2 linked regions of the Macaca fascicularis genome follow. The protein of the gene in region 2 interacts with the protein of the main gene of each other region in a pairwise test. Links are inferred from orthologs where the notes say so. Each region holds a gene or a part of one and is shown on either strand. Other genes may lie near its edges. The genes, in order: OAS2 and CLK3.

Region 1 (3,819 bases), on a different chromosome or scaffold from region 2:
ACTCTCAGATAAGGCTTAGCCTAGGTGTCAGGAAGACCTTCCTGCAGCCTGAAACACCCTGCATTTGGAAAACCCTCTTACCAGAACATTCCAAGATGGTGCAGGTAACTCATTATCCAGGTTGGGAGAAGTCAGCCAGGTTTGAGCTTCTTTTTTCAGCCATTGCCAGCATCTTTTATCTCCACTCACATTATTGGTTGGGTCGGTTGGATCCAAGATTACTGGCCTGTGTATTCCATTAGATTAAAAAAAACGTCAGTTGAGCTGCTTGTGGGAGGCAAAATCTGTTTTGGGGAAAGAGGCCTGGAGTGGGAATCTGGCAACTTGAATTTGGATTCCTGCGGCTCCTCCAAGCTGCTGAGGAATTTTGTCTACAACATCAAGCCCCTCTGGCCCTATGTTTGCTGCTTTACAGAGACATTCTATTAATAAAATAACAAAGTGGTCTCCTCTTCCTGTCCCCCCGCTGCCCTTTCTCTCTTAGCTCCTGCCTTCTATAACAGAAGTGTCTCTCCAGTGTTTGTTTAGGGGACAAAATGTGACTACGGCTTGGAACTTGAAAAGCACTGACTGGACTTCCCCTCTTTCAGACAGACCCCTCTGCCTTCCCACCCATGGTGGCTGCCATTCTTCTGGTCCAGCACTGGCTTGATAGGGCAAGACTGAGATCTCATTCCAAAGAGGTATGCCTGGCATGTGGATGATGAGGTACAGGGATAGGGCATGAGAAGCTCGGCACCTCGCTGATTGGAGCTGGGGCAGCAGGATATTCCTGATGGTCTCATCTTCAAAGCTGTAGTTGACCATCCAATAGACACACAGCTGCTCATGGCATTTGATCAGCTCCAGAATGGTTCTGACGCCTTCAGCAATGTCAAAGTTGTCTCTTCTGCACCCCTGTTCCCAGGCATACACTGTAAGCAACTCCAGGGCATACGGAGACAGCAAGGGTAAATCCTTCATTTTTTTCTCACACTGTGGGAGAAGAAAAGGGTAGCAGCTCATTTGGGGATCCAGTTCTTACCATGTCAGGGATCTGAAATCAAGAAACCAGAGGTCTACAGGAAGTCATTCTCCTTTGCCAGAATACCTACAATTCAGCAGATTGACAATACCAAGTCTTGACAAAGATGTGGAACAACTGGGATGCAGCAGGGACCTCTCTTAGGGGGCTGCAGGCCACCCACTGCTCCCATCCCACAAGCATAAAAATAAAGGACAATCTGGAGTTCTTTCGAGGGAAATTCCAGGCACCCTACTAGCCTTTAAAAGTCAATGAGCAACTTGATAAGCAAAAATATAGTAGTTCAGGGTCTACAGGAGCAGTGAAAAAAAAAAAAAAAACCAATAAAATTAAAACAACAAAAAAGGAAGGTAATAGTCACTTACAACAGTAGCCAAGGAAGCTAGAGTCAGAAGATGTTTTGTTCCCTATAGAAACTAAAGATAACATCTTAAAGTATGTCCCTGTCCCTGAGTTGATTTTCAGAAACTCAGGCCCCCACCAAGCAAATCGACTGGCAGGTAGACCTCAGATAAGGGGAAACTGAGGATTGAACCCTGACCTCATTCTTTATTCTAAATTTCTTCCTGAGGTTCTTGGAGGAGGTCACACCTACGAGCCAGAGCTAACGTTCCTTTCTGCTGATCTGAAATTTTTAGATAAAGCTTCGCCCATTTCACCCATCACAAATCGGAAAGTCTTTGAATCCTGTGACCTGAGCCATCCATCCATCTCCTCCCTCCTGCTTGGAGACGTCCCACCTTTTTAGGTCAAACCAATCTACAGTCTCCATGTGTTGATTTATGGCTTTGCCTGTAACCTCTGTCCCCTCACCTTTAAAACACTTACCTGTAAGCCATCGGAGAGTTTGGCTCTTAAACATGAGCTGCCCGATTCTCCCTGCGTGGCTCCCTGCAATAAATGCCTCACTCTCTCACGGTAATCCCAAAGTCTGTGTTTGGTTTTGCTGTGCTGGGTGGGCAGATCCCCAGTTGGGTTTGATAATATTCCTGAAACTTACATCTTGCTGATGGGAGTATAATTTGGTAAGATTTTGGAAATGATTTGGCAAGATTTGCTATGGTTAAACAAAAAAACAAGTAAACCACATATATATTTTATATATTTACACACATATATGTACACAACATTCATATATGTGTACTGGATAGCCCAGAAATTCTGCTGCTACCTATTTGCCCAAGAGAAAGGAATGCTTACATTCATAAAAAGACATGTAGGAAAATATCCATAGTAACCTAATTCATAATTGCCCAATTTGAAAATGACCCAATCATCTATTTGAAAATTGCCCCAATTTGAAAATGACCCAAAGCAGCAGAATGGATAAATGTGTGTTACATTCATAAAATGGAATATGGCAAAATGTGAAAAAAAGTGCTGCTATGGCTGGGTGCTGTGGCTCATGTCTGTAATCCCAGCACTTTGGGAGGCCAAGGTGGGTAGATAGCTTGAGCCCAGGAGTTCAAGACCAGCCTGGGTAACAAGGCAAAACCTCATCTCTACAAAAAACACAAAAATTAGCCAGGTGTGGTGGTACACTCCTGTAGTTCCAGCTACGTGGGAGGCTGAGATGGGAGGATTGCTTGAGCCCAGGAGACAGAGGTTGCAGTGAGCCAATATCACACCACTGCACTCCAGCCTGGGTAACAGAGCAAGATCCTGCAACCACATAAATGAGTCTCTCAGACGTACTGTTGAGCAAAAGGAGGCAGACATAAAGTATGTACTATATGATCCCACTTCTATTGTTTAAAATCAAGCAAAACTAATCTGTGGTGGTGACAGATGTTAGAATAGGGGTTTGTTTGGGAGGATTACTGGGGAGACAGTTGGCTTGAGGCACCTTCTGTGGTGCAGGAAGTGTTCCCTATGTTGATTTGGGTGTTGCTGGTAAGATTGCAAAACATGCATTGAGTTGTATACCTAAGATTGTTGCACTTTACTGGATGTCAGTTATCTCTATAAAAAGGAAATGAATGATAACCATATATAGACAGTTGGAAAATTACCTGTTGATGCCAGTGCTTTATCAAGAGGATCAAATCCTTTAGTTTTCTGGGACGGTTGTCAAAAAACTTCTGCTGGAGTTCGGTGAAGCAGACTGCAAACTCACCAGGACTGGCACTTGTCTTATCCAAGGATCTTTTGAGCTCTCGATAAATCCAGGGGCTGGGATTATCATTTAAGCCTGATGTGAAAGAGAAATTGGAACTTTGGTATTTATGTAACCTGGTCTCAGAGAGCCAGGGTTGCTCTACAATGAAAGTCAGTTATAGTTTAACAGCACACGATCCTTGTTTAATCAGTCAGAGGACTGGTACCTTTACATAAAATATGATAGGAAAGGGCAACTTGGCGCATTAGATAATAAAGTGTAATCTAAAATGACTATAATGAAAACGGTATGGTGTTAACCCAAGACAAGATCAGCAGAACCTAATGGAGGGATAAGAGATGGAATTATAAATGAGAAAGGGAATTCTCCAAATTAGTAGGGAACAAGTGGGTTCTTTAAAAAATTGTTGGTGTTGGCATAATTAGTATACATCTGGAAGAAAGGAAAGTTTATATTTTACATGCAATATATTCTGTCATTGAGTCCATCTAGTGAATATTTTACTTCAGAGTGTCAGGGTACAGGGACTTTGAGAAGGCAGGCAAGGTGGCAGCAGGGCCGTGGAGATCTGGGGACAGAGGCTGGTTTAATCAATGGGTTTTCATTCTTGCTAGCTGAACTCCACTGTTTATAAACACATTTATTTAGCCAGGCACGGTGGCTCATGCCTGTAATC
Region 2 (3,299 bases):
TCAGGGGCATCCTGCCCATAGTACCTAGTTCCCAAGGGGCCCCCAGTCACGTGGTGAAACCTAGCACTCGTGCAGCTCTTAGGGAACCAAAAACCAGCACTGAAATAAAGCTGAATGACTGAGTCCTGTGGTGTGTGAATTGCTCTGTAGGCTGTCATGAGGTGCTGCCTGTTCCAGCCTAGGAACCCGCCCCACTTGTCTCCTGCCCTCAGCAGACCATAATTGTTGGGCACATACAGCCTAAAGTCCCAGCCAGTAATGGGACTGACAGGCTGCGGAAAATCAGACCCCACCTGGCTAGTCACAGTGGGCTGATTCCGTTACATTCTCTGGGGCTGAGAGGTACAGGAGCCAGCAGGGCAGAGGTGCCGTCTAGGACTGCTCAGCAGCCTGGGCTCAGGACATCCCCACTTCTGGTCTTACCCCTGCCTAGCTCTTCTGTGCCTGGCCCAGTTCACACTTAGCTTTCCACAAGCTGAACTGCTAAGAAAGACTTTATTAATAAGGTCAGGTAAGGGGAAGGCAAGGAGCCTGGAGATGGACACACTGGTACCAGGGGTTACAAACAGTAAGAAACACTTTATTATAACTTTACAACATATAAATAGCTTGGGTCAAATCTGTGCTTTCTGGCAGCTGGGCACCAAGTCTGCTCCCCTGCAGGCTCCTGCCTTCCTTCACATTGCACTGTTCATTGGGTGGCTCTGGCCTGGGGCCTGGTGGTCGAGGCTGGAGTCAAGGGGCTGGGTGGCCCAGTCCCACCCTCCATCTCCTCATGCCGTGGCCTGCGCCTGTCATCTGCTTGGGTTGCGGCTGGTGTGGAAGGACCGCTCCTCAGGGGTCAGGCCAGCAAAGAAGGGGTGCAGCAGGGCCTCGGCCAGTGTGATGCGCTGGGCAGGGTCAAATTCTAACATCCTCCTCATCAGGTCAAACAGCTGCACGTGCTCCAGGGAGTCTTGGAGCATATAACTCTGCTCAGGGACACAAGGTGCCTCAGTGTGACGGCAGGATCGTGGGAAGCCACAGCAGGTCCCCTTGCCTCTGGGACGCCTTGCTGGACTGGATCGAGGAGGCAGTGTTGCCTCCTTGGAGGACTCTACTTCCGCCCTCCTGGACAATGAGCAGCTCCTTTCCTTTCATGCCTGTGTTTAACGTTTGCTCGGAACTTGCCAGGCTACTAGATGTCTTGCTGGATTGATGCCTCTGCCCCCACATGCAAAGTCCTGACAAGTGGGTAGAGATCACCTCTGCGAAATTCACTTGCCCGAGCACCAAATGCAGTTGACACAGACCAAATGCAGTTGGCTTCCTGGCCATGTCTAGGTCTTCCCTCCCCCTCACCTCAGTCCTGCCTAGTCCTTCCCAAAATTTCGCGGAGAGAGAGGGACAGGAAGCAGCAGGGTTTCTGACATCTGGCTCTTCCGGTGTTCCCCAATTACATTCATAGCCACCCTATGGGGAAGGGGTAGGGCCAAGGGCCCCTCTGGGACAGTATGCAAGAAGCCCCACTGCCAACATCCAGCAGTCTTGGGTGCCGCCTCCCATAGAGCTGGATCGAGGAGGCAGCCTTTAGTGGCCTGGCCTGTCTCTGCTGTATGTCTGCCCAGTGCCTGGGGTCTCTCCTTGGCATGAGTTGAGCTGGGGGTAGCCAGAAACTGACCTTCAGAGGTTTGCAGTTCTCCTTCACATACCGGCCATCAGAGCTGTTCTCATCCCAAACTAGGCCCCCTTTGTAGAAATATTTCTGCTTCCTGAAAATTAAGGGGGTGGAGTCAAGTGTGGGAATAGAAAGGGGACAAGCCTCTGGTGGGAGGTGGGGAAGAGCAGCTCCCAAGACAGCAGCAGAACCAGGGCAACAGGTTTGCAGGGGCACACAGGGAAGGTTTTTGGGACCCATGGACTGTCCAACAAAGACTCACCACATCCAGTACCCTGCTGACCCACAGCCAAGAAGAGAAAGGCCCCTATACCAACCCTGAGGGGGCTACTGGGGTCCTTACCTGGTACGGTGGATCATGTGTGATGGGATGGGCCCTAGGATCTTCTCCATCATCACCAGATGCTCTCGGTTTTCGTGGGTCTGTGGAAGATTAGGGACAGTGCAAGGGGGTCAGTCCTAGCTCTGGCCCCTTCAAGGAGAATAAGGAACAAGAAAGATGGGCAAGTGCCCTCACTGCCCCCGCAGATGCAAACCTACCAATGAAGCGGCAGCCCCAGCTTCTCCTGCCAGCCTGTGCTCAGGCTCAGGCTCCTCAGCCCTTGTGGGTGGAGGTAGACTGGGCTGTGGCTGCATTTCCCTCTGGTTAGCTCTTCGCTCCCTGCCCAGAACATGCCCTGTCCCAGCCCATCCTGATGCCTTTATTCATCTGTGCCTTTTATCTAGAAGGTCAGGTCACCTCCTGCCCATCCTCCATCCTCGACGGCCTAGCATAAGACTCCTCTGAGTGTTCTAGCTCCCCTGACTTGTGCACTCCCTTTAGCATCTACATCCTTAAGACTCTGAATCTCACATGATGACTAATGGGAGGAGGAAGACACCTGTCTTCTCATCCAGGTGGGGCTTCCCACCCCAGTGGCCTGCAGCCTATCACAGTAGCAGTGCTCAGGGTAGGGGAGCGATGTGGGGTGGCTGTACCTGGAAGAGTGTGAAGCCCCGGTAGTACTCAAAGAGAATGCAGCCAATGCTCCAGACGTCACAGGGCTGTGCCCAGCCCAGCTCTGAAAGCCAAGATGGGGAGAGGCTGTGAGATCTGGCCCTATGCTTCCAGCCTGGAGGTCACAGGGCAGCCACCACACTGGCTGGCAGGACTCTTGCCCAAATCCCATTACAAGGCCCTCTCAGTAAGGCTGACAGATAAAACCAGGTCAGTCACCTGTGTCTCATGACACTGGCCTCTTGGTCTGAGAAACTCTGCCTGCCCTGGGTGGCAGAGACTGCCAGGCATGCCACTGCCTCTGTTTATACCCTCCCAACAGTCCAGTGTGACGAGGTCACAGGCCATACAGTCACTCACCAAGGATCACCTCAGGTGGGCGATAGTGACGGGTGGCCACAATGGTTGTGTGATGCTCATGGTCAAAGGTGGCACTGCCAAAGTCAGCCACTCGGATGCTGGTGTTCTTCACTGACTTCTCCTCACAGCTCTGAAAAGCAAGGCAGGCCTGCCAGGTCAGGAGTCCACACCAGTGGGTAACCCACCCCTGGAGCAGGGCCTCACCCTTACCCCCACCAATACCTTGTGTTCATTGTAGAGGGTTTCAAACTCAGAATTCACAAACAGGATGTTCTCTGGCTTCAA

What was found.
Region 1: the proteins of CLK3 (region 2) and OAS2 interact in binary tests that used the Homo sapiens proteins (3 or more experiments, as listed by UniProt). The two-hybrid records come from large-scale screens. The link is inferred for Macaca fascicularis from reciprocal best matches to the Homo sapiens genes CLK3 and OAS2.

What each region holds. Positions count from the first base shown.
Region 1 is NC_088385.1:119,925,079-119,928,897, reverse strand, and holds part of OAS2 (2'-5'-oligoadenylate synthase 2), read right to left. Parts: intron 3,216-3,819; coding exon 3,037-3,215; intron 976-3,036; coding exon 740-975; intron 227-739; coding exon 82-226; intron 1-81.
Region 2 is NC_088381.1:51,741,200-51,744,498, reverse strand, and holds the end of CLK3 (dual specificity protein kinase CLK3), read right to left. Parts: coding exon 3,237-3,299; intron 3,145-3,236; coding exon 3,015-3,144; intron 2,719-3,014; coding exon 2,636-2,718; intron 2,081-2,635; coding exon 2,001-2,080; intron 1,752-2,000; coding exon 1,661-1,751; intron 1,224-1,660; coding exon of another isoform or gene 1,149-1,223; exon of another isoform or gene 972-1,148; coding exon 795-971; 3' UTR 560-794; downstream 1-559. UniProt on the Homo sapiens protein: Dual specificity kinase acting on both serine/threonine and tyrosine-containing substrates. Phosphorylates serine- and arginine-rich (SR) proteins of the spliceosomal complex.